4 linked regions of the Arabidopsis thaliana genome follow. The protein of the gene in region 1 interacts with the protein of each later gene in a pairwise test. Each region holds a gene or a part of one and is shown in the gene's direction. Other genes may lie near its edges.

Region 1 (9,694 bases):
TCACCTGCAATAATGTCAAAAAAGGGAGAAGTTGTTTATTTCAGTTGAAGATGATTTTTTGAGAGACAGGGATGATTCTCATCATGTGTAAATATTTACCCAGCTTTTTCCTTCAAGTTGACAGTAGAAAGAGGCAGATGTGTATCCGGCAATTCCAGAAGTGAGAGCGTAAATGACCACCAAAGCGGTAAAGAGTGCTCCTCGGTTGTATGGGTAGAACACTCCAACAAGAGCAAGCATGAAAATAAATATGGTGCTGATGACATGGAATAAAAGGAAAAGCTACAGTTAGTTACAGTAAGAAGAAATGCGGATATGGATGAAAGTGTATCCAGATGGAAAGTATTCGAGTTATGAGAGACTTACAGCGTGAACAATTGAGTGCCACTACCGAGCGATGCAGCAAATAAAGAATTGTGAGTAGGGAACCGAAACACATCGCCATGAATGTACTTCCATCCAGTTTCCTCTTGATCATCAGCAGCTTCCTCATCTTGAGCATACCTTTTAAGCATTGGAATAAGGTTAGATGAGATAGACAAGTGTAAAACAGTCGACAGTGAGGAAACTTGAAACTTACTTCATGAAATCGTTCTTGAGGACTCGCATCAAGATAGTTGCAAGGAATCCAGTCAAAAGAAGGACAGTGACACAGGAGTTAATAATGGAGAACCAGTGGATTTCCAAATGATGTGGAAGAGAAGAAGACATAGAGTACTTCTCCATTCTTTTCTCAAAAGGAGTCTCAGTTTCCTTCCACTTCACAGTGTACATAAACTCTGCATCAACTTCCTTATCCTCAGTGAGATCCACAAGCGAATGAGGATCCATTCTAGCACTGATCTCGATCACACGGTCCTTATTGTATAGAATCTCAAACTGAATGTGCTTGTACAAGAAATATTTGAATTCACTCGGATCAGATTTGATATCCTTGTCAACCTTTCCAATGAATCCCCAGATAGGTAGATCATCATAGTACATCTGGAAGTAGTAGTCCTTCTCAACAGCTTTTCTGAACTGTTTGACCTCTTCTTTACTCAACTTCTTGTTGCAGTATACCTCAGACTCTTTTTCATCTCTGAAGTTGAGCTTGTATGGAGCGCTAACTAGCCGATCCCCGTTTAGAACCTCGCCAAGAGCTTCCTTCTTCTCTTTCACACCCTCTATAAACCATATTCAATAATGGGATGATCGAATCAGGAGATGTCACACAAATCAGTTGCGGCTTAAACACAAATCGTGTGATTAAGCTAGTAAAGATATAAGCATACCTGGGATACAGAAGGGAAGATCAAAATATCGATACGTCTCACTGCAATCATCATTGAACAAAACCAAAATCAGTCATATAATAGTATTCAAATCTAAGACAGATCCATCACATAAACGAAAAACATTCCAAATGTAGTTTCTTCTTTCACTCTTTGGTTTTAACATTACGCATTTTGCAGTGTACTCAGTTATCAATGTCGTTACTCAATTCAATAGCAACAGATTCAACAATAAACGATCAATTTATCATCCTCAGGCTTAAGAATGGGAAACAACCTCAGATCTGAAGCTCAGATCTAGAATAGATGTTTCCGTTTACCTTGGATTGTGAAATGGGCCGACCTTGTTGGCGTAGAGAGGAACGGTGTCTCCTTCCTTGTAACGGTGGTCGGAGGCGTCGGATCTGACATAGCCGGCGCCGGAGAAGAGGATAGCTCCGACAAGAAGGAGAATCGTCGTCGGTGTCCTCATTGCGTATTCTGCTCAAATCGTGAGATCTGAGTAACTTTTTTTATTTGGGAGAAGAGGGAGAAAAATGGAGGAAATAACGACAATATTTATATACCAAAGACTTCAATCAAACTCGAGTCAGCTACACAAATTTTAATATTTTTATTATTTTCTCACTTTATTTCATAAGAAAAATACATAAAAAAACTATAGTCAATAATACTTTATACCATTTCCAACCATAAAAATAAATATCAATGTCTATAAATTCATAAATATATGGCTTTTGAAACCAAGACTAATTATTTATAACAAATGTGAGTGGCATTTAACAAAATACAAATCATTTTCCCATATGTAGGCTAATTAAACCAAAAAAAGAATATGTAGGCAGTGAGCGAACTAATTGTTCTGCCAAACCTATGTATCTTATAGTGTTTTTTTTCCTTGGGTCGAAAATCTTATCGTATTAACACTTCATAAATTTTGAATAGTTAAATTATTACTTCTTTGTATTAGATGTGGAGTGGAGTGACTATTTTTTTAATATCTTTTGTGGTTATAGTATAGTGAATATGAAGAATGACGAATGATGTTACACGAGACCAAGTTTTTGAAAAAAAAAATATATGAATCTGATAATCATTTTTCCTTTACGTGCGTTATCGTACGTAATTGCTTTGCATGATCTCACGTCATGACAGCAATTATAGAAACTAAACAATTTAAAATTCTCATTTATACACAACGTGCATCGTTTTGAGGCATGGATAATTTAAGGTTTTCGATTTATAGATTGAATCAGCAAGAAATTACAATGTAGCCACTTATACCAAAAATAAAATCAAACAATTTGAACAAGATACATTGAAGTATGGATCAAAACAAACAAACAAAAGTGACACTAGTTAAGTTTAGAGACTAGAGTGAGTCGGTTTTGTTATTTCATAATTTGGTTCATGTAAATATATGTACCCTTCATTTGAACAGAGTAGTATAATCCAGTAACTACATTCATATCTAGCAAAGAAAACAGAAACCTAATCAAAAACGTATTAAGATTTCTCAAATTTTCGTTCAAATTAGTGATAGAAAACCAGACGTAACCGAAATAAAACAGGTCAAGCCAAACCAGACTAGATTCAATCTTGGTTCACTCTTAAACGAAGCAGATTCGGTTCGGTAAAAGCATCTTTGACCGTAATCACTGGCAAAACGAAAGATTGATCGTTTGCTTCTTTCTACCGGAGATGACGAGTATAATCGGCGCGGCGTTGCCGTACAAATCACCGGAGAAAGCAATTGCATCTTCTTCGTATTCAGCTGAGAACGATTCGAGTCCTGTTGATGCTGTTATTTTCGCGGGAACTTCGCTGGTTCTCGGCACCGCTTGTAGATATTTGTTTAACGGCACTAGAGTTCCGTACACCGTCGTTCTTCTCGTCATCGGCATTTTTCTCGGATCCCTAGGTCTTATTTGTTTGCTCATTAAGCTTTATAGCTCAGTTTCAATTTCGTGGAAGATTTTAGAAAGTAGTTAAATTTTGGATTTTTTTGCTTCTGTAGAATATGGAACTAAGCATAACCTTGGGAAGCTCGGCCATGGAATTCGTATCTGTAAGCTACTGTATTTTCTCTTCTCCATACTGTTAGATTACGAGCTCTAAAAAATGGCAACTTTACAGGGAATGGTATCAACCCTGACCTACTTTTGGCTGTTTTTCTCCCTGTTCTTCTTTTCGAGAGCTCATTCTCCATGGATGTGCACCAGATCAAGGTTTTTACTTTCCTGATTGAGCTACTTCCTTGGCTGTGTTGGTTCCTGGTATTGATTGTTTTACATCATTGGTAGAGATGTATGGGACAAATGGTTCTGCTTGCTGGACCTGGAGTTCTGATTTCCACCTTTTGTCTCGGAGCTCTTATAAAGGTACTTTAACTAGCTTCAACATTTTCGACTGTGATTAAGTGAGCTTCAATTAACTTAACAATTTTTTCGAGTTATGCTCTTGTAGCTTACTTTTCCATATAACTGGGACTGGAAAACATCATTGTTGCTTGGAGGACTTTTAGGAGCTACCGACCCCGTGGCTGTTGTTGCTTTGCTAAAGGAGCTTGGTGCTAGTAAGAAGATGACCACGTTAATTGATGGGGAATCTCTCATGAACGATGGGTAACCATGTCAAACTCTTATGTTTAGCATCAAGGTGATGTTATGTCATATATGATCAAGCTTAGTTGTTTGGATTATTCAGGGTATCGGTTGTGGTTTTTCAATTATTCTTCAAGATGGTGATGGGGCATAACTCTGATTGGGGTTCCATAATCAAATTTCTTGTCCAAAACTCATTCGGAGCGTATGGATTATTTTCCTTTGTTAGTAGTATTGTATGTCGCTGTCTTCTTTTCTCCGCTTATGTTGTTCTGGTTTTTTAGTGTAGGCATTGGTCTAGCTTTTGGAATTGCATCAGTTTTTTGGCTTAAATTCATATTCAATGACACGGTGGCTCAGATCACTGTAACACTTTCAGCGAGCTATTTCGCCTATTACACTGTATGCTCTTCTCTTCTACATAACTTAGTCCCCAATGGAGAATCTTAAATCTCTAGGAAACCTAAGAAATTTCTACTATGTACAGGCTCAAGAGTGGGCTGGGGTTTCTGGAATTTTGACTGTCATGATTTTGGGGATGTAAGTCGTGGTAAATTATCCCTTCTTTCTGTTGTTATGTGTCAAAAAGCCATTGTTCATAACATAATTGTAATAGGTTTTTCGCTGCATTTGCAAGGACAGCTTTTAAGGGGGACAGTCACCAGAGTCTGCATCACTTCTGGTATTTCACAACTCAGTGTTCTTTTTTCGTCAAATCAAAGGAAATCTTTACATGTATATATTATATTTTTATGATTGCCCTATAACTTTTGTAGGGAAATGGCCGCTTACATTGCAAATACACTAGTTTTTATGCTCAGGTACGAACTGTCTGGCAAGATTCGAAAACAAAAATTTACTGGTTATTTTACAAACAAAATACTGCAGACGATGTTTTAGCCGATACCTGATTGATACAAGATCATTGCATGTGTGTCTCTTGTGAATTGCAGTGGAGTTATTATCGCTGAAAGCGTTCTTAGCGGTCAGACAATATCTTACAAAGGTGTCTCTTCACAATTTATTATTCTACGTCCGGATTTTTTTTTTATTTTGTTCTTGGAAGATGTAAAGGGAGGTTTTCTCCTAGAATTCGTCATGATTAACGGATAACATCGCTAATTCCTGATACCATTACCGCAGTAGCTTTCTTTTTGACATATATTGGGGTTAAGAGGACCATTCATTACTCGTAACGTTCTTTTCAGGAAACTCGTGGAGCTTCCTTTTCCTCTTATACTTGTATGTCCAACTTTCCCGCTGTGTTGTTGTTGGAGTTTTGTACCCATTGCTATGCCGTTCTGGCTATGGGTTGGATTGGAAGGAATCCATCATACTCACGTGGTCTGGATTAAGGGGTGCTGTTTCGCTGTCGCTCGCTCTATCTGTAAAAGTGAGTTCTGAAGAAATGGCATTTCATTCATGCAAGAGCAATATCTACTAATTTCAAATCTGTTTTCAAATCTTTTATATTCATGTTCCCATTTCCTTTTCTCTGACATACTATAGCTCTCGGTCATATGATTCAGCAATCAAGTGGAAATTCATATCTCAGTTCAGATACGGGAACAAGGGTGAGTTCTGAAACACAGTATGAACTACTTTTGAATTTCTTTCTGGAGGCTCTTTTTGTTATCTTGATGTGTTTCAGCTGTTTTGCAGTTTCTATTCCTCACAGGTGGGATTGTTTTCCTAACTTTGGTTGTTAATGGATCCACTACCCAATTGCTCTTGCACCTTCTTCGCATGGACACTTTAACGGCCACTAAGGTCAGTATGTTAATCCTATATTCTCTTGTGCTGCTACTTTTCAAATCTAAAAAGCAAAGACAGGATATATGGGTAGATAATGGAACCTCTGATCATCCGTCTTTATACATGCACAAATGACTGCATCCTTCTGCAGTTGTGGGTATATTAGCTTAGGTTTGTGCGTTTTACAAACCGAGAATAGGTAGTTAGAGATTGGGAATCAACCTGCTTCAGAATCTGTCACCGATCCTTCTAATGTATATACACGCACAATCTTTGCAACTAATGCTTCAGAAATATAATGATAATGCTCCTCTTTTTCTATTGACAGAAACGAATATTGGAGTATACAAAGTTTGAAATGATGAAGACTGCTTTAAAAGCTTTTGAAAATCTTGGAGATGACGAGGAGCTTGGATCTGCTGACTGGCCTACAGTTATAAGACATATTTCAAGCTTGAAAGATTTAGAAGGGAGACAAGTTAATCCTCACGATGGGTACGAAGCTGGAAGTCTTGACCCTACGAATATAATGGACATACGTATACGCTTCTTAAATGGTATTTCACAATGCGTAGTAAATTCTTCTCATTGTCAAACTAGTGTCGTTCCAAAAGTAGCTATTGATTCGAGACTCTTGCCTGTATCAGGTGTCCAGGCAGCTTACTGGGAGATGCTTGATGATGGGAGAATAACACAATGTACTGCTAATGTTTTGATGCAATCAGTAGATGAGGCACTTGACCTTGTTTCTACCAGTTCTTTAAGCGACTGGAGGGGTTTAGAACCGCGTGTTCATTTCCCAAATTACTACAAGTTTCTTCAGTCAAAAATTATCCCCCACAAGTTAGTCACGCATTTGATCGTTGAAAGACTGGAATCTGCTTGTTACATTTCTTCTGCATTTCTCCGTGCCCATAGGATTGCGCGACAGCAATTGCATATCTTTCTAGGTATGCATCACTCTGTTCTGTTAAATAATATCTCTATGTTAAATTCGTTTAAGACTCTGCATATTAGCTCACGAATACAGACTTGAATGAAAACCTTTGGTCCATCATTTACCTGAGAATGTGCTTTTTTCTTTACACAGGTAACAGTAACATTGCCTCTACTGTAATCAATGAAAGTGAGGTGGAAGGAGAAGAAGCAAAACAGTTCTTGGAAGATGTCCGTGATTCATTTCCTCAGGTTTGGAACCATATACTTTTTTTTGAAACCCATTAAATTGTCAGGATTAACTGATAGGCTGATATTGGCCAATATATTTGTCAGGTTTTGAGTGTTTTGAAAACAAGACAAGTAACACATTATGTGCTGAATCATCTAAATGGTTATATTAAAAACCTTGAGAAGGTTGGCTTGTTAGAGGGAAAAGAAGTTTCTCATCTTCATGATGTTGTTCAGGTAAAATTTGTAGATTCTTTGCCATCCATGTTTTAGCCACATGATTGAGCTTAACACTCTCACTCTACTCTCCCTCTTCAGTCTGACTTGAAGAAGCTCCTGAGACATCCTCCTTCACTAAAACTTCCAAATGTAGACGATCTGATCACCAGCAATCCTTTATTGAAAGATCGCTCAAGCTTCAGGAGTTTGGCCATTGGCGAAACAGATGCATGAACTGAGACTTTAGGTATCCTTGTCAGAATCAACTAGAGTAGAATCTGGTTCCAGGATCGAGTCATGAGCTCGTTCGATCTATGACCAAAAACAGTCCATTCGTATAGTTTTTAACTTGTTTCATAATTACAGGGATCGAATTCATGAACTCGTATAATCATTTCAATCAATCCTTTTTGGCTTTGAAAAGGAAAATAAGAACGATAATGGTTAAATCCGTAAAGGGAAAAAAACATCAACGAAAAAACAAATCATGGTCGCTCTCTAAGCCAAAAACGCGTTAACTTGGAACCAAAGAAAGAAAAAGTCTTGACTACTTCAAACTCTGACAGTACACTTTAAAGTTAAACCTATATTAATCACTTATATGCAAAACAAATCTAGATCCCAGAAATATATAAATTCCCAAATTATAAACGAATTTGCAATAGGAACAAAAATATAAGAACGAGCCAACGCGTCTTGAGAATTTTCACGCGGTTCTTTTAACTCACCCAACTCTTCTTCACTATAAACTCTCACGTCGGCAGTTCCAGCTTGCAGAGACACATCATCATCTCTAGTACTAAAACCAAACCGACATAAACCGGGCTGAGAGAGAGAAATGGGTGAAAGAGAAGCTTGTCTAGTCCCAAAGAGAGGACAAGTTCTTAAAAGAGTCATGAGTGTTGTCTTCTTTTCTTGTCTTTGTTTCCCTTCTCGTAAAAATACACAATCATGTCTCCGATCATCTCCCTCATCTTCTTATGTCACACCTTCTCTTGAAACCATCAAGCCTTAAGGACATTTATAGGACCAAACCAAAACTCAATTAGGATGAAATTAGATTCAAAACCCAATTCTCAGTTTTTTTATTCAACTTGTTTTGTACCACCAATAAGTCAAAGACCATAAGCTCAATGGATGGTCTCTGAGTCACCAAGAGGGAAGGGGTCATCTCAGAATGTTGTAATAGTTCATGTATACGCTACTCAGCTTTTGTATAAGCTACTCAGCTCTTTTTATTCAACTTCTTGTAATAGTTCATGTATAAGCTACTCAGCTTTTGTAACTTTACTTTTCTTTAGTAATTCTGAATTTTCAACACAAACTCGAAGTCTGTTTCAGTTTTTCTAATTTTCTCATATCATTTCAAGCTTACCAATCTTATGTAGCCTTGTTTAATACTACAAGTGACTGATACGGTAAAAACCAAAATTAGTACACTAGCTAAAGCAATATATTCCCAATGTTTCAACTAACATCTTATCTAATCTAATTCCATACCTGTGACAACGATAAGCCCTTGGAAAAAAGGAAAACAGCATCCTCATATCGTACCTACAGAGAAGAGAAGCCAAACTGCACTAAAAGAAGCTTAACCATAGTAAGAACACACAAAGACAGAGACAAAGGAAAGTATCACATTCTTTTTTTAAGATTACAGAGCGAAATGTTGCCTCAGCTGCAAATCCAAAACAAGCTTAAGTCAGTAATAATCACTCTACTTTTTCTAAAACTCCATAGATAGCAGAGATATGATGAGCCAAGAGTAAAGATGTGTGAACGAGAGAGTAGTACATATAGTTTTGGCCATCAATTTAAACATCTAGAGAAGAATAAGAGATCAAAAAGCATTTCCCTGCGTAGACCAGCTGTCTCTCTATCTCTTTCTCCCACCACGTTCCCTCAAAGACAATGTTAGGATTTCTCCTGCTCCGACATTGTAATGTGCAAGCGACATGTTGTCCTTTAAGAACCCTGCTTTTCCACTCAACTTCTGTTTGTTTGCTGGGATTTGAATCTCCCCAGCTATTTTCTCCTTCAAACTTCCCACGTTTTCAGATAACGACTGCACTGTGATCTCCATAAATTGTCCATCATTCTCGTTTGGCTTAGAAACCCTGATTGTAGCCGGACCCTGAAAATGTACAAAACAGGTAAGATACAACTCAGAGGAAAGAAAATGGCTAAGAAAATGATTCAAAAGACTGAAGAACACATTACCGGATGCTGAGCAAGAAACTGGTCTTCTGGAACAAGGGCTGACTCATCGAACTTTTGTCTCTTTGCCTCTGGTTCCTCAGGAAGAGGTGGTGGAGCCTCCTCGGGTGGTGGAGGAGGAGCCATCCCAGGCATAGGTGGTGGTTGCATCATCCCCATTGCAGATGGTGGAAGCTGACCATAAGGTCTAGGAATTTGCATATGATGAGCAAACTGAGATCCCGGTGGAGGTGGCACATGCATACCAGGCTGCATCTGTGGTGGTCGGTTCATCATCATCTGCGGGTGTCCTGGTGGCCCTGGCATTGTGAGCTGGTGTTGTTGATGCATGGGCTGCATCATCGGAACACCTAGTGGCCTTGGTGCACCGGGGTACTGAGCAGAAGGGGGAGGACGAGGGAGGTTCAAGGCGAGATTAGGAGGTGGTGGCAATGGTCGGACTATTGGGACACCTGGTCG
Region 2 (8,892 bases), on another chromosome or scaffold:
AACATTAATAGTGGAAATTGAACAATGACCATATTTTGTTTTCGAAATATTTTTAAAACATTGCCAAGAAGAAATGAGAAACGGAGACATCTGATACTTTTGATATTTAACGAATAATTAATACTCCTATGATGTGCGTAACCAAAAGATCATTTGCTACAAACAAAACTATTATCACAGAGTCATAGATAAAATTATTGACTTTAAAGGTTGCGTAAAACCATCAAATACGCACACAGAGGCATATTTTTGGTTGTCTCACCGAGACAATAGTTTTTTTGTTTTTATTATCATATTTAACTTTTAAAAAACGAAAATATAAATTTGTAGTCTTGTAGAGATCATAAACAATATATAAATGGTTTAGTCAGAAGACTCAATAGTTTGAACAGAAATATAATATTTCCCTGTTTTGAGATTTACATAAGATGACGTTTTGAGAGTGCACAAAATATCAATAATGGACTGTTTGGCTACAAGTTTGCGGCGGTCAACGCTAAACACTGTACTAAACGCTAAACACACTTTCCAGATCGATATTTGTTATCTATTTCTATTTGTACTTGATCCAATTTAGCCAGCCATTTGGTATTCACATATTCGCTAAAATTCAAATGTTTGATCAAATATCGATCAGTTTGCTAAATCTTATTGGGGAAATTAAATTTAGAAGAGTTCTACAATTTCCTTCATGTTCTAAAATTTCCTTCATGTTCTAAACTATATGTGAAATTGTATTCTAAGAATTTCTATAGTTTCTAAAAACATTAGAAAACGTTTATCGACAAATTCCTTCATGTTCTATAGTTTTTTGGAGAGATACTTATCTCATTCATTAAATTGAATCAAAGTACAAATATAAGAGAGATTCAAATATCCCAAAATTTATCGACATTAGATCTATAAGATATTCTCCAATGCTAAAAATAAAATAAAAACTATGTATCAATTAGATCCACAAGAAATTGGAGAAAAAAGTGGATAGCATCTTAGTGCAAAGTGCAAACTAGTTCATAGTTAATCAAGGGTTCATCCACAAGAAATGAGAAAATACTCAGTTAAAAAACATACTAACTTGAAGACGATTCTAAAACCTTGGTTCTCACCGGCACGAGAAGTTCTACACAACATTTAACAAACATTTTTTTTAGCAAACATTTAATTTATGTTTGGATTTATTTTTTATGTATAATGACGTCGAATTTCATATAATGTTTTAACAAACATTTAACATGTGTTTGGATTTATTTCTTATGTATAGTGATTAGTGACGTCGAACTCCATATGAATTAACTTTTACCAAACATTTTAACATATGTTTCGATTTATTTTTTACTTTTACAGCAAATTCAAAGTTTTTTTTTTTAAAGAAGATTTTTTAGAAAAAAATAAAAATAATCATAAGTAGCTATTCATTTCAAGATGAAATCATTAATTATAGTGTTACTGTGTAAGTTTAACTAAAATATATAACTTTGTGATATTTTAAGTATAGTTTTCAATAGTATAACTCTATAACTATAAACTTGTAGACTTGTATCCATAGACGAGTCACGAGAGATGATGTGTTTCTCTCAAAATCACACTTCAAATAAACAAATGATTTTACATTGTTTTTGGTTCAAAAAGACAAAAAGATGTTTGTTTTTCAAAAGCAATGGTTTAGTCTAAAGACTCCAAAATCTAAACCGATATATAACGTTTTGAAAATGTGCAAAAATCAGTGATGGACTGTTTGGTTACGGCGATCAACGCTAGACACTTTACGAAACGCACTTTCCAGCGTTTTTGTTATGTATAAAAGTTTTTTTTGTTTAAATTCTTAGTTATTGTGCTTTCATAAGGTTTTAAAGCTTTAATATATAGTTTGCTAATAATATTTACCAGCTGGAGTTGGGTATTTGATCGAATATTTGAATTTTAATGTATATGTGAAAGATTTGGGTTAGATACGATCACAAATTCACAATTCCACAAAACCGTATAAATAATAAAACTCACAAATATTAAATTATCTAAAAACGAAACAAATCATAATTTAATAAACAAAATCAGTGGTTTTAAAATAAAAGCGAAATTTAATATGTAAAAAGTGAAACAAATCATATATATTAAAATAAATAATATTTGATATATATATAAATGTATATATATATGTGTCTTGTTTATATATATATATATATATTGATTTTGTTTCTTAATTTTATAAAATTCAATGAATTTATAACTAATTTGATCACTATTATATTTTTTATATACATGATATTGATCAAATTAGCTATAAAATAATTGAATCACAAAATTAAGGAACACAATATCTATACAAAAAGATACACATATATCTATATTTTTCAAAGCATATATAATCAAAGATTTTTAATTTAAATCTTTGTGATTTGTTTCGTTTTTAGAGATCAATATTTCATTTGCTCTGTTAACTTATGTTAGCCAAAAAAAATGAACAATAATAACAAAGCACATAAGGTATCGAAACTGATATTTAAGAAATTTGACAAGCCCCAAAATTAACTATTCTTGTCACTATCTATAATAACGACTAATAGTTTAAGATTAAAGTAATTTATTGTATATTCCTTGGATCGACTCTATAATCTATTGTCTAGTAGTATGATATAGTAGTATCTTTTTTTTTGGTCCTCCATAGACGAACAATTTAGACGAGATAATCTAGGTGTGAACAAAAAGAACGGCTTTCTTCTCCCTCTTTATTGTTAGTCAATAAAAGATAACTTATAAACCAAAACATAGCTTATACATCAAAGAGTCATTACATCGACATTCATGTATCTGAAAAGATATTAAAACAAAAGATTCCGTGAATATATTAATTGGTACATATAAAAATCCAAAAACATACTACTAAATTCGAATAAATAATTATGTTTAGGGAGCTTCACTTATTTAAGTATAGCATCTATGACTAATCTAATTACTACACAACTGATCTACACAAAATAATTAACTGAACAAAATACTTAAATTACAAATTAATTAAGCAAACGGTCTTCCCTTGTTAACCAATCCTATTTAAGTTACGAAACTAGGGATAGTATATGAAATTTAATTCATAATTAAACATTTAGTGGATGAATTAATTGTAAGAGATATATAATTACTATTAATTTATAAGATTCTATGTTAGGTTGAATATATTAGAAGAGTCCAGCTCATAACTCTTGTGCCCATCTCCACAAGTAGTTTGTGAAGTCAAACAAAAACTTCCACTTTTAAAATTTTCTCTTATTTCTTTCTCTCTCATAAGTCATAATATTCAACTAATTAAGTGCATATATATACGATGTATCAGTGCTTATAATCTTCATGAGGAGCTTTATATATTTAGCATAATATCTTTCAGAAGTGTGAGGCCTTGTTAATTAAGCTCTTCTTCTCTATCTCTCTCTCTCCCTCTCAACCTCTCACCATGGTAGCTCAAGCTCCTCATGATGATCATGTTAGTTTCTCCTCTCTTTCTCTCACAATGTTATTGCCTTATTGTGATTCAGATCTTCATTTTTGTTTTTGTTTTTTCGATAATCGATCTTCATTTTTGTTATGAACAAGACAAATTGGACTTTGAGTTATTTTCTCAGGGCAAAGCAAATTAAAAAGTAAAGATGATAATTGAGTCTAATTATCAAATGATAAACAATAATACTTCTCTTTTTTTTAACCTCACCCACTGAATTTCTCATAATATGTTTCTTCTTTCAAAGATTTTTTGAGCCTTGTTTTCGCAACGATACAATTTCCTTTCGGTCTTTGGATTTATTTTGTAGAAAATATCCAGAAAAAAAAAACTGTGGTGCTTAGAGATAGATAAGATGTTGAGAGAATTTAAGAACTTAAAGACAGAAGTAATTTATTGTAAGTTAATGACGTGTTGACTATAAACTTCTGACTCATTAAATGCTTACGATTTTTCTTAAACTCCTTAATTACTAGTTTCATTCTTTTTTTTCCCTCCAAAATTATGTAATTGAATTCTTACGAAAACAAAAAAAAAGGATCTACTTTTTGTTCGTAAGTTCAGATCTTAACTTTCAAGTACCGTACATGGTCAGTTTCCAACTTTTCCAAAGTTTAGGGAACTTCTACCAACCTTAACCATCGTCAGAAAAGACCAAGAGATCTTCCAAATCCATTATTGTACTTTTACTTTATCTTCATTTTACCCCATAATTTATTATATACACATTTTTAGCCCACTGACATATAATTTCTGACTTTTCTTCCATTGATTTTTTGTAGAATGAACAAAATCAACTTGTTCTTTACTTTCTTTCTTTTTTTTGTGTAAGGTTTGTCTACCAACCTAAACCATGTTTACACCAAGAGATCTTCCAAACTTTTCAACCTTATTTTCTTTTTACCCCATAAGTTATTAAATCTAACTGTACATCCCCAAAAATCATGATTTTTAGCAACACTCGTATAAGTTGACTTTTCTCATTGATTTTGTGGAATAGTCAGAATCAACTTGTTCTCTTTGTCCTTTAACCTTTGCACGTAGTTGTAGATCTCAACTTTATAGTATGGGTCAGTTTCTGACTTTTCCAAACTTTAGGGACGTTCCACCTAGTCACCAACCTAAACCATTTTAGACTACTAGATCTTCCAAAATCCACCCTTATACTTTTTACCCTAGAAGTTTATTATTTAACTTTTTAACCGAGTTGTAATTAAATCATTGACTTTTCTTGCAATTGAAATTCTTGTGATAATAAAGCAGGATGATGAGAAATTAGCAGCAGCGAGACAAAAAGAGATCGAAGATTGGTTACCAATTACTTCATCAAGAAATGCAAAGTGGTGGTACTCTGCTTTTCACAATGTCACCGCCATGGTCGGTGCCGGAGTTCTTGGACTCCCTTACGCCATGTCTCAGCTCGGATGGTAAATTCCCCTAAACCAAAACCGGTTTATTTTACCTAAACCGGATTTATCAAATCTTAACCGGTTTTAATTTGTTTTCTTTTCAGGGGACCGGGAATTGCAGTGTTGGTTTTGTCATGGGTCATAACACTATACACATTATGGCAAATGGTGGAAATGCATGAAATGGTTCCTGGAAAGCGTTTTGATCGTTACCATGAGCTCGGACAACACGCGTTTGGAGAAAAACTCGGTCTTTATATCGTTGTGCCGCAACAATTGATCGTTGAAATCGGTGTTTGCATCGTTTATATGGTCACTGGAGGCAAATCTTTAAAGAAATTTCATGAGCTTGTTTGTGATGATTGTAAACCAATCAAGCTTACTTATTTCATCATGATCTTTGCTTCGGTTCACTTCGTCCTCTCTCATCTTCCTAATTTCAATTCCATCTCCGGCGTTTCTCTTGCTGCTGCCGTTATGTCTCTCAGGTAAATCATTCAAACCGGTTCGGTAATTTAAATTAGTTTGGTTTGGTTTATTTAATAACTCTGTTTTCTCTTCCTTATTATCCGGTTCTAAATCAATTTCCTTTTTGTTTCTAGCTACTCAACAATCGCATGGGCATCATCAGCAAGCAAAGGTGTTCAAGAAGACGTTCAATACGGTTACAAAGCGAAAACAACAGCCGGTACGGTTTTCAATTTCTTCAGCGGTTTAGGTGATGTGGCATTTGCTTACGCGGGTCATAATGTGGTCCTTGAGATCCAAGCAACTATCCCTTCAACGCCTGAGAAACCCTCAAAAGGTCCCATGTGGAGAGGAGTCATCGTTGCTTACATCGTCGTAGCGCTCTGTTATTTCCCCGTGGCTCTCGTTGGATACTACATTTTCGGGAACGGAGTCGAAGATAATATTCTCATGTCACTTAAGAAACCGGCGTGGTTAATCGCCACGGCGAACATCTTCGTCGTGATCCATGTCATTGGTAGTTACCAGGTTGGTTTTTCTAAACAAGAACGTACCCTTAAATACTCGAGAGAGAACCGTTATTAACTAGGTCTAAACCAAATCTTGGTTTTGTTGCAGATATATGCAATGCCGGTATTTGATATGATGGAGACTTTATTGGTCAAGAAGCTAAATTTCAGACCAACCACAACTCTTCGGTTCTTTGTCCGTAATTTCTACGTTGGTAAGAAAATTTATTGAAATTCACGTTTATTATTTACTTATGTATATTTACATTTTTAAGGTGTTAGTTGTTCAAAAAATCTGATGATGAGTTTTTTTGTCATCTTAATTATGGTTTTGTAGCTGCAACTATGTTTGTTGGTATGACGTTTCCGTTCTTCGGTGGGCTTTTGGCGTTCTTTGGTGGATTCGCGTTTGCCCCAACCACATACTTCGTAAGTTTGCGATTACTTAACGCTTTTCTTCAGCTCGAATGAATTATTATTCATGAAGAAACATATGCACTTTTTCAAATTTTGATTAATACAAATTAGCTTACCTAATTTATTTATAATTTTTTCAGCTCCCTTGCGTCATTTGGTTAGCCATCTACAAACCCAAGAAATACAGCTTGTCTTGGTGGGCCAACTGGGTAAGTAACATTATCATTTACTTTTCAAGCATTTGCGATCCGCGGTTGCGTTTTGTTATATTGTTTTTCATAAAAAATAAAATTTTGTTTGTTGTTTATTTCAGGTATGCATCGTGTTTGGTCTTTTCTTGATGGTCCTATCGCCAATTGGAGGGCTAAGGACAATCGTTATTCAAGCAAAAGGATACAAGTTTTACTCATAAACGCTATGTAATTCCACTAATTAAGAAACATATCTTTATATTAATATATGTGTGAAGAAGTTTTTAAGAGATCAACACGAGACATTTATAGAAGAATCAATGGTCTGGTCTGAATCTAAATGTAGCTTTTAGGGTTTGTATTTTCGTGTGTGTTATATATATTATATAAAACAATAATATTTTGCTCAAATAGGTTTTCAAAATGTTTGGTTTTCTGAGGAGATTGATTCTTTGTGTTCTCAAGAAAAGAATACATAGATGGATATCATTCCAACTTCCAAGTTATTACTATTATTATATTATAGCCATTAAATTCATGATTAGTACGAATATAAATATTTCATAGCGTGCAAATAACGACAAAAATAGAAGATTCACAAGTGAGTCAACGAAGAAAAATGAATTATATACTTCATACATTACAAAACGAATATGCATAAAGAAACATATTTATAAGCTTTCAAGGGTTCAATGTTCCACTGTTTCTTATATTTGAATTAAGAATCTAAAATTTGATTAGTCGGATGGGGTAAACCCAATCAATAACTCATGATTATCTTACTCGAAGATTCGATGGCAGTCTTTGCCAGCCAAATTTGCACATATAGTAAGATGAAATTAAAAATAAAATAAAAGAAGTTTTGTCAACACAAAATATTGTTCTTGTCCATTTGAACCAATCCAAACTTTAAAAACCAACTAAAAAACTTATAATATATGCATGTGCTACAACTGCCGTTTGTTCACGCTTATAATATATGCATTTAGCTTCTTTATAGTTTCGCATTTGTGCTTTAACCCCACATTTACAGAAGAGGCAATGAATCATTTCAGCTTAATCCAACCTTGGTGACTTGGTGTAATGACATTCTGATTCGGCCTCTTAATTTAGTATTGGACCGTTCCTGAGCCCACATTTCTAATGGCCTGGCAGGACATAAATATCATTCTCATTGTAAAAATTAATTTCCAACCCAATCACTATCTTATACGATTACAAATATATATTATTTTCGACCAACTTTTACGATTATATATAATGTAATTATCATTTATTGTAAGAGATAAGGAATCGATTTATTGAGAATACATGATTCGGAGTTGTATATGGATCCTTTGGGCAGGATTTTGGTATAGAGCAGTCGAATGTTTTGCACCTATTTTTCTTCTTTTGTTAAATAGATAGCTTACAAATCAATTTTGAATTCCGCAAGGGTGGAATGACAATTCGTTCATATCAGTTGCAACATCTTCAGAGTATTTGTTTGCATAGGATCTGCAATGTTGCTCTTCTGGCAAGTAGCAAGAAAACTGTCTTGATCTTACATTGTCTTGTCACGTGTGAGATTAGTTTGAATTTAACTTTATCACGTGTATGGACTTGTTTTTTTATTAGGATATATAGAGTCCAGTCCTCTTAATTAAGACTTAAAACTGTTGCATGTCATGAATCCTGATCAAAGTTTGAATACTATGATGAAAGTATTTTGATCGTTTAAACACTTAATCCCACAAGGCTTCAAGTCACTTTTGTAACTGTGCCTCCCAGCCAGTAAAGGCCCAAGTGACATGTGATCTTATTCATTGAATTACATGGACCACTGTAGGATCATGCCCAAATAGTCCAGAAATCAGCCCATGCGACCAAATTATATTAAACAATGATGCTAATATGTTGCTCCAAAGTCTAAACTAATTACTAAAATAGATTGATATATATGTGTTGACAATATTAAATTTAGACGTAATAATTATTGACTATGTCTGTGGAGTTTATACCTCGTATAGGATAATATCGATTTTGACCGTCCGGCCAATAAGAGAGTTTTGATTCCACCATCGACTATACAATGTTGCATAAAATATAAACGATCGAGGCTACTAAAACATATATATATAAATAATATAGTTAATAGTATAACATCCAGTGATATGTATGATATATGCATGTGTGAGCTGTAAGGTTAGTCCATAAATCATGGGTTTTGTCGTTAAAAGAAGAGAAAGAAAGAACCTTATTTATAGACAAGGACCAACCAAGACAGCCCTTTCTATGAACTCTCCTCCAACTAAAATTGCCATCTGTTCACTTATGATTTCTTCACTAGTCCCTTCTTATTTGTTTTTTATATTTATGTTGTACGTACGCATATACAAAATAAACAAGGAAACAAATTTGAAATCTCG
Region 3 (7,038 bases), on another chromosome or scaffold:
ACTTCACCTTTTTGGTATTGCTCTGCAGAATCTTATCGTTAGTAGATCAAGAGAGCTTTCTTTTCTTAGGTTATGTTGCTTGTCATTGTTTTGGCAAATGGGCTACTTTGTAAAGAGTGTGTGAGTGTGTTAGAAGAAAGAGCTTTCTTTTCTTGTGTTATGTTGTTGCTTGCTTGTCTTTGTTTGGCAAATTGGCTCTTTTCTAGAGAGTGTCTGTGTTTTCTATCTTACTCTGTGGGAGATTGAGAATATATCCTACAAATGTTCCATTTGATTCCCTATGTGGTTGTGTTTTTTTTTTTGTAAAGAAGGTTTTAGAGAATCATGTTTGATGTGTAATAACTGGGAAGTAAAGGCTTAATCTTCTTAGGTTTTGCTCTGCATTTTCCCATCATTAGTAAGGAAATGAGTACTCTATTAGTCTCTATTTTTCAATGCACACCATTGGGATTTGTTTTCTTCAGGGGGAATGAGAAAAAAGTGATTCTTACTGCTAATCAAATTGAGTTCTTCGCGCTGCAGGAGGTAAACGAAATGTGGGCAGGTTTGGGATACTATCGGCGGGCACGTTTTCTTTTAGAGGTAAATACTCTTCTGCAATCTGGGGTTTGATCCTAGTTGATACGTTCACTAAATATCATTGTGATCTTTTCTTCTTGTCTTGATTCTCACAGGGTGCAAAGATGGTTGTTGCAGGGACGGAGGGTTTCCCTAATCAAGCGTCTAGCTTGATGAAAGTTAAAGGAATAGGACAGTACACAGCCGGAGCAATTGCCTCAATTGCTTTCAATGAGGTGAGTCAGTTTCATTTTTTTCAGTCATCAATGTAAGACATCTAAGTAATTATCTTTACGTCTTTTGACACTTATTATGAACCAGGCAGTACCTGTTGTTGATGGAAATGTGATAAGAGTGCTTGCTAGATTAAAAGCCATCTCAGCTAATCCAAAAGACCGACTTACGGCCAGGAATTTCTGGTGAAATAACTTTTGTATTTGCTCGAATGTTTCGCTATTGAGACTATACTAAAAGAGAGGATAAAGAAATCATTTATCTTTGTCAGGAAACTAGCTGCTCAGCTAGTGGATCCTTCACGCCCTGGAGATTTCAACCAATCTCTGATGGAGCTTGGTGCTACACTATGCACTGTATCAAAGCCAAGTTGCTCTTCTTGTCCTGTTTCCAGCCAATGTCGTGCATTTTCACTTTCCGAGGAAAACAGAACGATTTCCGTGACAGATTATCCTACAAAAGTAATCAAGGCCAAGCCAAGGCACGACTTTTGTTGCGTTTGTGTTTTGGAGATACATAATCTGGAGAGGAACCAATCAGGAGGTAGATTTGTTCTTGTAAAAAGACCCGAACAAGGTCTGCTTGCTGGTCTTTGGGAGTTCCCATCTGTTATATTAAATGAGGAAGCTGATTCGGCAACAAGGAGGAACGCAATAAACGTCTACCTTAAGGAAGCATTTCGTTTTCATGTAGAACTCAAGAAAGCATGCACTATAGTTTCAAGAGAAGAACTCGGAGAATTCGTCCACATATTCACTCACATTCGTCGAAAAGTTTATGTGGAGCTATTAGTTGTACAACTTACAGGTTTGACCACTATCTATCTCTTTCTTTCTAGGTCTCTTTTTTACATATAGTTAGAGAAACTAACAAGAAGTTACAGGCGGAACCGAAGATCTGTTCAAAGGTCAGGCAAAGGACACTCTAACATGGAAGTGTGTGAGCAGTGATGTTCTTTCTACCTTGGGACTGACATCAGCTGTTAGAAAGGTACCTCCTTTTCGTCTTCAACATATTAAAAGACTATCCTTGGATGTGATGGTTGAGAAGGAACAAATTTTGGAGTGCAGGTGTATTCAATGGTTGAAGCACACAAGCAAGGCTTATCTGTTTCTCATGTCTCATCAAATAGAACAGCCATATCGAGGAAACGAAAATTCTCATGATCTCCTTCTCACACTTTTCTTCATGTTGCTTAGCTTCTATAGTTCTTGTCTAGCATTGGGAATCAAATTTGGTGATCTTGGTTTGAAATTGAACAGCTTAGTTTCTACTGAGAAAAGTGACGGTGATGTGTGATCCCTCCAGAGTCCAGGGGTTGATTATGTATTTTGGGCTAACAAATATTAAAAAAATGGATTGTTAAGGCCCAACTTAAGCCCAGAAATAAATTCAGTCAGTGGATTCATATAATCGCGTGGACTCTTTCTTCCAAATGATTTACATAAAGAGTCAAAAGTCCTTGAACTTCACGTACGAAGACTTGTCAAAAGGCATAATTAAAACGGACAACGAAACTATTCACTTATTAAGCTTGGCCGCCAAGTTATAATGTCACTTTCCAAAAAAGAGACGTGTACAAAGAAGATTCAGTGACTTTCTTCACCATCCCCTTATATATACATTATCTGACATGTATAGTAAGCTCAAATTAACTTAAGAACTCACACTTAAGTTTTAAACCTCCAAGGATGTCTCTCTTCACGCTCTTCTTCGCTTGCTTTGTTCCAAAATCTGGTTCAAGGATTAACACAACCGACAGTAATTTGGAAGTCTTGTCTTTGAAGAAACCCAAAAGAAAAACCGAGTCCATAAGAACTCCTACTATCGTCGTCTCTTATTTTCCCGTAGGCTCCAACCTTTCTCGTCTATAGGAACTAGGAAGTAGGAAGGATAAAAGTGAAATTCTGTAGTTATGATCACAACCAAGAAAATATATGAGGCTGATACTATTGATCCAGTCCAATCTTGTTTATCTATGTAATAGACCAATGAAAGATTCTGCTTGTGGTCGACACTTTTTTGTAATGATGATTTTGTTTTGGGTAAGTTTATGTATATACAGTGGCACAGAGACAGAATAACTATTTATTGATATAAATATTATTTTTTAGTCAAAACTTTCTTACTTAATTGAAAATGAAATAAAATATTTAGCAGCAAATTATATCTTATAAACTCACATGCTTACTCATATCTTGTAATCGTTTTATCATTTGCTTCGTTTTATGCAGTGTTAATAACATTTGCAACGGCAAATCGTCTTTTGAGTAAAACATGTATTGATTCTAACGATTATAGTACAAACAGAAAATATGTTTACTCAATTGCTATATCAGGGTCAGTTGCGGAGTGGTTTGTTTAAAAACCACTCTACCACTATAAATATTTGTAAAATGATGTCATTAATTTTTTTTATAATTATGCTTTACAAGCTTTAGTTTTGGACCGGCCTGACTTTAGGCCAAGATTCAAATTAATAGAAAACCTCGCACTTAAGTTTTACAACTCCAAACATGTCTCTCTTCACACCCTTCTTGGCTTGCTTTGTCCAAAAATCTGATTCACGGGTTAACACAACCGACGCTAACTTGAAAATCTTGCCTTTCAAGAAACCGAAAAGCAAAACCAAGTCTCCAAGAGCTCCCACGATCGTCGTCTCTTACTTTCCAATAGGATCCAACCTTTCCCGTTTATAGAAATACGAAGATGAAAGTTAAATTTTGTAGGTATTTAAATTATACCTAAAATTGGTAAAAATAAAAATATACTATACTGTTACAGTTAAATTTTGGTCATGTCTACGTATGTACCTAGAGCCGAATAAAATATTGAACCGGGCCTTAATATTTCCTAAACACTAATGTGTTTCTCTCGTCGACACTTACTTTCAAATGTGACCCAGACTCAAGCTATGTAGAGCCCACTTACCTGCTGCTGCGCTGGAAATATGCGAGACAGCTTTGTTCATATAATCTATTTTATATATCTTTCATTATTATAAGACTCCTCTCCAAATGCTACCACACAATTCCTCTATCAAAGCCGCCCAATCCTCCACCCAAAAATGGCTTATCTCCGGCGAGCAGCCACCGCATTGGTTCTCATTTTCCAGCTCCATCTCTTTCTCTCTCTCTCAAATGCACATAACATAACCCGAATCTTGGCCAAAGACCCTGATTTCTCCACTTTCAACCACTATCTCTCAGCGACTCATCTCGCCGACGAGATCAACCGCCGGCAAACAATCACCGTCTTGGCCGTCGATAACTCAGCAATGTCCTCCATCCTCTCTAACGGATACTCACTCTACCAAATCCGCAACATTCTCTCTCTCCACGTCCTGGTCGATTACTTCGGCACCAAGAAACTTCACCAGATCACCGACGGCTCCACCTCCACTGCCTCCATGTTTCAATCCACCGGATCCGCCACCGGAACTTCTGGATACATCAACATCACCGATATAAAAGGCGGTAAAGTCGCTTTTGGTGTCCAAGACGACGATAGCAAGCTCACAGCTCACTACGTCAAATCCGTCTTTGAAAAGCCTTACAACATCTCTGTTCTTCACATCAGCCAAGTCTTAACCTCGCCGGAAGCAGAAGCTCCCACGGCGAGTCCCAGCGACCTCATCCTCACCACAATCCTCGAAAAACAAGGGTGCAAAGCTTTCTCCGACATCTTGAAGTCAACCGGCGCCGACAAAACGTTCCAAGATACCGTAGACGGAGGCTTAACGGTGTTCTGTCCCTCCGACAGCGCTGTCGGTAAGTTCATGCCGAAATTCAAATCCCTTTCTCCGGCGAACAAGACTGCGTTAGTGCTTTACCACGGCATGCCGGTTTACCAGTCGTTACAAATGCTTAGATCAGGTAACGGCGCCGTTAACACGTTAGCGACGGAAGGTAACAACAAGTTTGATTTCACCGTTCAAAATGACGGAGAAGACGTGACGCTGGAGACGGACGTTGTGACGGCGAAGGTAATGGGGACGTTAAAGGATCAAGAGCCATTGATAGTTTACAAGATCGATAAAGTGTTGTTGCCTAGAGAAATCTACAAGGCCGTTAAGACGTCCGCTCCAGCTCCTAAGTCGAGTAAGAAAAAGCCTAAGAACGCGGAGGCTGACGCCGACGGACCTAGCGCCGATGCTCCGTCAGATGATGATGTTGAGGTGGCTGACGATAAAAACGGCGCCGTATCAGCGATGATTACTCGAACAAGTAATGTCGTAACGGCCATTGTCGGGCTCTGTTTCGGAGTTTGGCTTATGTGAAGTGACGTGGCATTTACCTCGCTTTGGGAATCTTGTTTTCCTTTTTCTTTGTGATCTGTCGGTTTAATTTATTTTACATATTCTTTTTTTTGTTCACGTTGATACTTGGTGTGGAGATTTGGAATAATTAATTGTTCCACTTGTGTTGGATCTGATATGTTTTATTCTAAAAAAATGTGATGATCATTCAAAAGAGTGATTGGTACGTTGGAATCACGTGTATCTATAAAGATAGTGTCGGTGGTAGTCGAAATAGTGTGAGGCTGTGAGCTGTAAGATGCATGTTACATCCTTTGTGGTCGCTTGGATTTGACCCATGATGATGCTCCATCGTAACTACACTAATATGAAATATAGTATACTTTCAATTACAGAGGAAATCAGAATAGGGACAAAGATTATAATACGAGATAAAATGAGTGTTAGTTCAAACTTCCGATTATAATGTCGTAATATCTTTTAACCATATGTGTTGCATTGCACATAGTAATAAGGGCTTTAAGAGGGATTAAATGTTTTTCTATCTCTAGGTTGGGCATCTCCAACAAAAATTGTATTATCAGCTCCTACCTAATGTGGTGATATTCTTATTAGATATACTAGATCTTTCTTGTTCCATCAATCCATAATTAATAGTGTTTTGGACATGTAAGTTTAGTTAATCTCTAATCCGGTTTACAAATTGCGGTTTAGGTGTAATTAAAAAAAACAATCATGATTTAACTTATTAAATAAAAATCGGATGTATTTAAGAAATTTAGTGTGAGATAAAAATTGATTTTGTTAGTACCTACTTGTAAGAAATGTAATTATTTTATAACAAATGTAATTATTTTGAAGGATACTAAAATAGACATTTTATTGCTTTAAGTAATGTGCAAAACTTCAAAACATTTAATGCCACAACTATTGAACGAAGCTTTATTCACCCTTCTATTCACCTCCTTTTGCATTAACCAATAAAAACATGTCATGTCAAATCTTACTTAAATTACATAATAAATTAAAGCTATAATTATAAATCTAAACCGATATATAATCTCGTTTAATTACAAAATCTAAACCCTAATTCTCCTTTGTAAACCCAAACCTTCATTTAAACTCATTTAATCGTAAGAAAAAACTAAACCCTAATCGTATTTTCAAAACCCAAACCGACATTTAACCTCGTTTAATTGTAAAATCTAAATCTGTTTATAAACCTAAACCAATATTTAATTGGTTAATTGTAAAATCTAAACCCTAATCGTACTTTCTAAACCCAAACCGATATTTAACCTCGTTTAATCATAAAATCTAAACCCTAACCTTTTCTAATAAATCCAAACCGATACATAATTTCGTTTTAGTGGCAAATTAGATTTTATAATAAAATTAAATTCTTTTTATTATTGTTAAATGTCAGATTTTAATTGATTAAAATAGAAGAGGTGAATATAAGGGGGTGAAGGGTGAACCCAAGTATTTTTAGCAACTATTCCATTTTAAATTTTGATGTTTCCATGTTACAATAAATTTTCTATTTCTGGAAAAATAAATACACTATAATTTTAATATGGGGCCTATAAAGTTTTTTTGGGGCTAAAGCCCATATATGCCTTATCTTTTTCACGTTAGGCACACAGTACAAACGAGTCGCAAAAATTGGTGTACATATACAAAGTAATGTGAACCTTTTTAATGGCATTAACACTTTCTTGGATTCACACCATTTACCAGTGTAGTAAATGGTCAAGAGACGATACAGCTGAGAACTTAAAACCGGTTACGAGAAGATATTTTGGAAGAATAAACCAAGTGTATGGTAACACTCTTAAGCCTCATATCTTTAAAAAGCACGTAAGCGTTGGGAGAATCAAACCATCACTGGAAATAGACTAGAAGTCGATGGCAAGTTTTACAGTGGCTCATAGAGATGGTATAAACTTAAATATTTAGACGCAATTTTGTAGAATCGGAATAATATA
Region 4 (6,979 bases), 1.1 Mb from region 1:
CAGCTCCATGCCCACTTTTCTTACCTCCTCCATTCCCTGTTTTCACCTTCTTGCTTCTCCCTACAACACCACTTTTAGCCATTGACCCACCAGGATTAGCTTCGGGATCGAACCGTTTGATCAAGCTCCTAACCTCATCAAGCTCAGATTTTAGTTTCCGCTTCAAGTTCCTAACCTCAAGCTTCGAAATCGAGCTCAGACTTATCTTCAACATGTGATGATCGTCCTCCGACGCAAACGAGTTCGAAGGAGATACAAGAGGAACAGATCGTTCCTGTCTAGAAACTCCCATTGGTTTGGGTCGGTTCTGGCTTGAGCTCCACTTATGTTTCTTCGTCTTTGAAGCTCCACCACCTGATATATGTTCAGAAGACATTCCCCTGACAACCAAATTTGGGGTTTCTCTAGGGTTTTTTGAGCTCCGAGGTACCAAGATTGAGGAATTTAAACACGAAATCGAAGATTGGTGAGATCGAAAGAGAAGAAAATTAGGGTTCAATGGTTACTTCAAAAAAAGATCGCTCTGGATTTTTTGCAAAGCTGAAAAAAAAAACTAAAGGGAAACAATGGTGAGAGCCGCGAGAATAGCGTAAGCTCACGCGCTTTAGAACCCGAGAAATTTGGGAAAACAAACACATGTGTGTAGTAAGGGAAAGTAATCTCAGGTGTCCCCCAACAATATTACCAAACCGGTACGAACCGTATATATACATAGGCTAATCAGATAAAAGTAAGAGCCATCTCCTTATCTCATTGCAAACCAAACTATCATATGCTTCTCATATCTTTCATCTCCTTACTCTTTAATGGAAGGTATCCTGTTTTTAACGTTTTTGTCTAGTCGTTTCATTAATTGGGTGGTGGGTGTTATGATTTTCGCCATGTCTTCTACTGTTTCTCTCTTTCCAAATTGAATAAGTTACCAGCTGAAAAGAATATCTTAGTAGGAATAAGCGAATCTTTCCATGAATGTTGTCCGTGAGTAGCCTTAGTACCATGTTCCAATCGGTAGAGAAATCTGCAGCTAAGAGTTTTTAAGTGAGACTCGACCAAACTTCCTTTGAGTATTGGCATGCGAAGAACAAGTGGTTTCTAGTTTCTACATGCTCTTGACAAAACACACACGAGGTATTAATCCTTACATTCCAAGTAAACAATCTATCTCTTGTAGTTAAACGGTTATGAGTTATTAGCCAAATTAGAAATTAAAAGAGTATTTTGGTGTGGCGTGCGAGAACCAGATACCTTCATACCTTCCTTATTTGGTTTTTGCTCCCGTGTTGCTTCCCATGTGTCTTTGGTGTTGAATGTGGCCTGAAATCGATCATCTTTACCTCTCCAAAGAACTACATCCTCTGTTTCGACTAGCCCTTTGGACCAAAGCTCCTCTATTAAATCCTCCGATCCATTTGGTTTAAATGTACGACTCGATGCCTTCTCCGTTTATGCGTTAGTAGTACTTCGTAAATGTTCCTTTTACGTGACGTCTAACTGCAAACCAATTCGTATTATCTCTATCTAGAATTATTTTTTTCAAAAATATACAAGGTGTACTATATAATATGATATTCATTCATATGATGATATGACAACACTATCATTTTCAATATTTACATTTCTTCCATAACCGCAAGCTAGCATGACTCAATCAAGTCAATTCAAAAGGAAATCTACGAATTTATTGAATTTGTTTCTATTTCTGGCAACTGATAAAAATAGTCATACGTATATATAAAGTCTTATTACTAGTTCACCAAATTAAAACCATGCACCCATTGACCAAAAAGCTCTTCCATAACCAGGTATACATTGCATGGAAATGTATTGATCTTTTTCAAATTCAAGAATAGTCTATATATATATATATATATTAATAATTAGGTGTTGAACAATTCACAAAACTAAAACCTTTGACCTATTAACACAAATGGCTCAATCATCTGGACACGTTTCTTATGTGGCGGTTACGGTTCCAATAGCTATTGTCATGACAGTGTTGTGCTTGTTTCTAGCCAACGCCGTGACCTATGCCCGGAGACCGACCACCTACATTGTGGGAGGCGACGATGGTTGGGATCCGGTTGTTCCGATGGACACTTGGGCACGAGGCAAAACCTTTTATGCTGGTGATATTCTCGGTATGTATCAATGATCTTAAAAAAAATCTTGGTACGGTAGTGTGATTGATAAACCATATCCATCATACTTTAATATTGGCTTAACTTTAATCTGCTAAGACAATAAATTTATATTGGTATATTCATGGTGATACATTGCAGAATTCAAATACGATTATCAGAGATTTAATTTGATTGTGGTAAACCGAACTGGTTATGAAACTTGTGAAGCGAACGTTGGAGCGATAGAATATTCGTCCGGAGACGATAAGATCCAGCTTAATTACGGTTATAATTATTTCATCGGAACATATACTCCCGAGGATTGTACCACCGGTTTAAAAATGGCCATCAAAGCATTGGCTCCAAGATAAATTAAATGAAGCAACTTATTATAACAATGATAAGTGGAATGATTAGTGTTTTCGTACGTAGTGTTGGAGTTATTTGTAACAGTTTAAAATGTTAGATTAATAAATATCTTATTAAAATTCATTTGCGTTTTAATTAGTAGCTTTTCACTTTATAAATAATCTAATGATATCTAGTTTATGTGCTCAAAACGTAAATATTCTTAGGTTATATATTTTCTGTTCTAAAATAAAATCTAATGATGTAGAATCTCGTTCTTTGTAATCAACAAAAGTGAAATATTTATAACAAGTTCTTAGATTGAATCTGTCTTAAATTATCAAACTAAAGCAAGTTTTAGTCTCTCTTTTTTTTCTTTCATAATATTCGTTCTTACCAAAAACTTGTAATAAATATCATGGGATCGATATTTTGACTCTACGATCTCACATGGAAAGACAAAATAAATGACGAGGAAAACAGAAACCGGATCAAGATTCAGAGAATTGTGACTTGATCCACTTGGCACACATGCATAGATATATAGTCACAGCATGGATAGTAGTATACATACACATTTACACAGTACCATTGTTATGTATATATTGAATCTTAATAAAGGAACTGTCCAGATTGAATGATCAGGTAAGATCAAGGAATAGATAGACACGAACAGGATCCACGTGTTCAGCTTCAGACACTCTCATATCACATCTGTCTCCTAATTGCTTCCACTTTGCTTCTTTTAAGCTCTCTCTCTTCAAGTCTTCTTCTCTTGCCTTTTCTTCCTTCTTCTTTATCCATTAAGGTTTGATCCTCTCACTTAAATTAGGGTTATATATGGCTACATCTGCTAGAAGAGCATATGGATTCGGGAGAGCTGACGAGGCGACTCACCCGGACTCCATTAGAGCCACTTTGGCTGAGTTTCTTTCCACGTTCGTCTTCGTCTTTGCTGGAGAAGGCTCAATCCTCGCTCTAGGTTAGTAGTTTATACATACATAGGGTCATAGGGAATATCCCCCCAAAAATATATACATTTTCAGCTATATACTGTTAGCATCTTTACTTGAGAGAGTATTAGTCAAAACAAACACTAGTACTCTAGTAGTATAGCTCCTACACAAACTTATTTATATAATCAATTTTAGAATTTGTTTTAATAAGGAATGAATATATAAGACTTCCTTTGAATTTAGTTATAGTGAATGTTATCGTTGGAACTATGCATAATCATGCATGCATGTGTGATATGAACTATGTTATATGTGTTATTGGACAGACAAGTTGTATTGGGACACGGCGGCTCACACGGGGACAAACACGCCTGGAGGGTTAGTTCTGGTGGCGTTAGCTCATGCATTGGCCTTGTTCGCGGCTGTTTCTGCAGCCATCAATGTCTCTGGTGGCCACGTCAACCCCGCTGTCACTTTTGCTGCTCTAATCGGAGGCAGGATCTCGGTCATTCGAGCTATCTACTATTGGGTTGCTCAGCTTATAGGTGCTATCCTCGCTTGTCTCTTGTTGAGGCTTGCCACTAATGGCTTGGTATATTACTTCTCATCAATCTCTATATATTACTATTGTCTTTTTGGTACAGTTTTGTGTTGAACCAAGAACTTTGTATATATCTCTGTAAATATATGCTCATGAATGAATGTGATTCTCTGTGATGCAGAGACCAGTAGGTTTCCATGTAGCATCAGGAGTTAGTGAGCTTCATGGGCTACTGATGGAGATCATACTTACATTTGCTTTGGTTTATGTTGTCTACTCGACCGCAATCGATCCAAAGAGGGGGAGTATTGGGATCATAGCGCCACTAGCCATCGGGCTCATAGTTGGGGCAAACATTTTGGTGGGAGGACCTTTCGATGGAGCCTCTATGAATCCGGCTAGAGCCTTTGGTCCAGCATTAGTGGGATGGAGGTGGAGTAACCATTGGATCTATTGGGTTGGACCGTTCATTGGTGGTGCACTCGCCGCACTGATCTATGAGTACATGATCATCCCCAGCGTGAACGAACCTCCTCACCACAGTACCCACCAACCATTGGCTCCGGAAGATTACTAGACCGGAGCAGTCTTCATGTAGAGGGTTCTCTCTTTGTATAAATAGTCTCTGTGTTTGCTTGTGTTGTTTGTCTCTTTACTTGTTTTGTTTTCCTGCCATTTCCTATGTATAATTGAGTCCACACCAAAATCTGTTTTCTTGTATTGTATATCTTACAGAATAATAAAGATTTTCAATGATCGGATAAATATGGGGACATCTATGGCTTTCTCTCACATCTCTGTACATATGTAACAATGCCTAACTTCCTCTGTTTCTATAAATCAGTTTTTGCATCTGAAACCTGCAAAAGCTTCTTCCTTCTCATGTTAAGAAGGTCCTCTCATCTTTTCAACAATCTGTCTACTCTTCTCCTCCATGTGACGCCTCTTCTCCTCCAATTTCTCCCCCATTTTCTTCCCAAGATCCAACATTCTTGCTCTTCTTCCCTGTTTTTTCCCCCTTGAATCATCTTCTTCGCTTGAAGCTACAGACCTAGATGGTGACTGAACAGCAGAAACCTCTCTGCTACTCCCTCTTGAGTTCGTCTCCTGCTTGTTACTGCTGCTGGGTACCAGTAGTGGAGTTTTCAGTTCTTCCAAGGATTTATCATTCTCTATTGTTACAGTTGTGGAGTTTGACAATGGCGTAGACATAATAGCTTCTGCTTCAGTATTCTGTTTCTGGAAAGCAGTGGCCGCTTTCTGCACTTGCTCAGACTGAGCACAGGAGGAAGAAGCCAATGTCCCTATTTCAGAAATAATCTTCTGGGTGGCGTTTGCAGTTCTCTGCATTTGCTCAGCTTGAAGACATGAGAACGAAGTCGGTGGCTTGTCAGATTTAGATCTCGCTTCTGTTGCATGGGAGGTATTGTGATCGTTTTCTTGATTCAGCCACATGAATGGAGCGGCTTTGCGTTGAACCCAATCATCTTTTTCAGCAATCATCCAAGGAATCGTTAGGCTTTCACAGTTGGGAAGAACCACCGCTTCTCGTATTGCCGTCTACAGAATCATAATGTTATCACATTCTGTCAGCTCAAAGTCCTCTAGAGAACAAAAGAAGAGAATCACAAAGGAGAAAGAAACTGTACCTTAAACCGGTTGATCAAGAACATTGCAACATGGCTGTTGGTGATTTTGTGTTCCCCAACAGAAGATGCGAGATCGAATTCGATATCCGGCATGCTCGTGAATCCAAACCATAATTGATCAGAAGGAGGCGGCTTCATGTGTACCCGCAGTGTCCCTCGAAGAGAAGACACCCGTATTGACAAAGAGATAGGCACCTGCATTTGAGAAACAGAGATTTCTAGAAAACCATATTGAGACATGAATGACTAGAAAAGCAAAACATAAGAACCCAAAAAAGGTTATGAGGAGAACTAAGGATAGGTTATATCAAGCCAACAAGCAAAATAAAGAATAATCTTGTGGATGTTTAGGAAAAGGAGAATCAACCTGAGAAACTTGTTCAGCAATTGTTTTAAGAATAGACTTCCACCTGGATACACCATTTGGAGCTGCCTTCGTACCTCTTGAGCTCTTGGATTCATCTGCAACCAACAGAAAGATGGTAAGAAATCAATCGTAATTATCACCTTGAGAAAAAGTTTTGAACAGGAATCACGCTCGCATGATCTCTGTGGGTTAAACTAGAAAAGACTGCATTAATCCACATTAAGTAAACATTGAACTAGCCTGCTTTATTGGCTCCACCATTTTTCACTTCTCCTGCATTAACAGTTTCCACAGGGAAGACTAATTGCTTTTCAAAATCTTCAACACCTTCAGCAAAATTTGACGGGACTACCCCTGAAGACCTTGGCTGCAACCTTGTATCGGTTATGCCTTGTTGCAGATCCACCTCACGGATGTCAACCCGTGTTTCAACGTCAATCACCACGTCACCAGAGTATTCAATATCTAGTTCGAATGCCCACACACCACTCATCTCCATTGGAAGAACCCGTGTAGCATGTATATGAGGTGGGAGATTTCCAGTGTCAACATCGGAGCAGATTAGTTCGCCTATGTAGCTCGGAGTCCTCATGTTAGATAACAACCGCTGTTTAAAACCAAAATGTTACATCTTTGTTTTGTTATAGAAATCAAATCATCTCAAATTTCTAAGTTCATCCTAAGGTTCAGAATCATGAAAAGTGCAGACCTGAATTCGTGCTTGCACTGAATTCTTCACTCCTGTTTTCCGTTTGAGATCGAAAAATAGCCTAGAAATGAGCAAGTTCAACGCTAATGTTCCTTCATCCATGTCAACCTTTTCTTCAGAGTCTCCATCTGAAACCCCAGAAAGATGACTGACCCCAGAAATATGACTGCTATGGCTCACAGAACGTGAAAAAATAGGCACATCAGTATCATCTGTCATATTATTCTTTCCTGGAAAGCACTTCCCTGAGCTACTTCCATGATGTGAATAGGTTTTCCTGTCTTCACGA

What was found.
Region 2: the proteins of NHX8 (region 1) and LHT1 interact in a protein complementation assay, tested with the Arabidopsis thaliana proteins (one large-scale study listed by BioGRID).
Region 3: the proteins of NHX8 (region 1) and FLA2 interact in a protein complementation assay, tested with the Arabidopsis thaliana proteins (one large-scale study listed by BioGRID).
Region 4: the proteins of NHX8 (region 1) and BETA-TIP interact in a protein complementation assay, tested with the Arabidopsis thaliana proteins (one large-scale study listed by BioGRID).

The regions. Positions count from the first base shown.
Region 1 is NC_003070.9:5,029,721-5,039,414, reverse strand, and holds NHX8 (Na+/H+ exchanger 8), read left to right. Parts: upstream 1-2,804; 5' UTR 2,805-2,975; coding exon 2,976-3,195; intron 3,196-3,291; coding exon 3,292-3,342; intron 3,343-3,410; coding exon 3,411-3,502; intron 3,503-3,577; coding exon 3,578-3,655; intron 3,656-3,740; coding exon 3,741-3,898; intron 3,899-3,980; coding exon 3,981-4,082; intron 4,083-4,161; coding exon 4,162-4,279; intron 4,280-4,364; coding exon 4,365-4,417; intron 4,418-4,493; coding exon 4,494-4,559; intron 4,560-4,653; coding exon 4,654-4,698; intron 4,699-4,830; coding exon 4,831-4,883; intron 4,884-5,085; coding exon 5,086-5,270; intron 5,271-5,386; coding exon of another isoform or gene 5,387-5,406; coding exon 5,407-5,451; intron 5,452-5,539; coding exon 5,540-5,647; intron 5,648-5,960; coding exon 5,961-6,189; intron 6,190-6,279; coding exon 6,280-6,582; intron 6,583-6,722; coding exon 6,723-6,820; intron 6,821-6,904; coding exon 6,905-7,036; intron 7,037-7,117; coding exon 7,118-7,252; and 2 more. Other genes in the region: AT1G14670 (Endomembrane protein 70 protein family), read right to left, coding at 1-4, 100-256, 367-504, 581-1,166, 1,275-1,315, 1,595-1,746; AT1G14650 (SWAP (Suppressor-of-White-APricot)/surp domain-containing protein / ubiquitin family protein), read right to left, coding at 8,895-9,152, 9,239-9,694. UniProt on the Arabidopsis thaliana protein: May act in low affinity electroneutral exchange of protons for cations such as Na(+) or K(+) across membranes. May also exchange Li(+) and Cs(+) with a lower affinity.
Region 2 is NC_003076.8:16,320,378-16,329,269, forward strand, and holds LHT1 (lysine histidine transporter 1), read left to right. Parts: upstream 1-3,189; 5' UTR 3,190-3,445; coding exon 3,446-3,475; intron 3,476-3,932; exon of another isoform or gene 3,933-4,322; intron 4,323-4,750; coding exon 4,751-4,917; intron 4,918-5,003; coding exon 5,004-5,387; intron 5,388-5,501; coding exon 5,502-5,895; intron 5,896-5,985; coding exon 5,986-6,091; intron 6,092-6,213; coding exon 6,214-6,305; intron 6,306-6,433; coding exon 6,434-6,502; intron 6,503-6,606; coding exon 6,607-6,705; 3' UTR 6,706-7,005; downstream 7,006-8,892. UniProt on the Arabidopsis thaliana protein: Amino acid-proton symporter. Transporter with a broad specificity for histidine, lysine, glutamic acid, alanine, serine, proline and glycine. Involved in both apoplastic transport of amino acids in leaves and their uptake by roots.
Region 3 is NC_003075.7:7,489,631-7,496,668, reverse strand, and holds FLA2 (FASCICLIN-like arabinogalactan 2), read left to right. Parts: upstream 1-3,588; 5' UTR 3,589-3,859; coding exon 3,860-5,071; 3' UTR 5,072-5,442; downstream 5,443-7,038. Other genes in the region: AT4G12740 (HhH-GPD base excision DNA repair family protein), read left to right, coding at 29-69, 465-480, 523-582, 675-794, 880-977, 1,064-1,599, 1,676-2,091; AT4G12735 (uncharacterized protein), read left to right, coding at 2,484-2,666; AT4G12731 (uncharacterized protein), read left to right, coding at 3,309-3,491. UniProt on the Arabidopsis thaliana protein: May be a cell surface adhesion protein.
Region 4 is NC_003070.9:6,126,901-6,133,879, forward strand, and holds BETA-TIP (beta-tonoplast intrinsic protein), read left to right. Parts: upstream 1-3,124; 5' UTR 3,125-3,308; coding exon 3,309-3,450; intron 3,451-3,750; coding exon 3,751-4,016; intron 4,017-4,146; coding exon 4,147-4,542; 3' UTR 4,543-4,727; downstream 4,728-6,979. Other genes in the region: AT1G17790 (DNA-binding bromodomain-containing protein), read right to left, coding at 1-376; ENODL22 (early nodulin-like protein 22), read left to right, coding at 1,928-2,138, 2,280-2,491; AT1G17820 (testis-expressed sequence 2-like protein (DUF2404)), read right to left, coding at 4,851-5,525, 5,615-5,809, 5,982-6,076, 6,222-6,588, 6,691-6,979. UniProt on the Arabidopsis thaliana protein: Aquaporins facilitate the transport of water and small neutral solutes across cell membranes.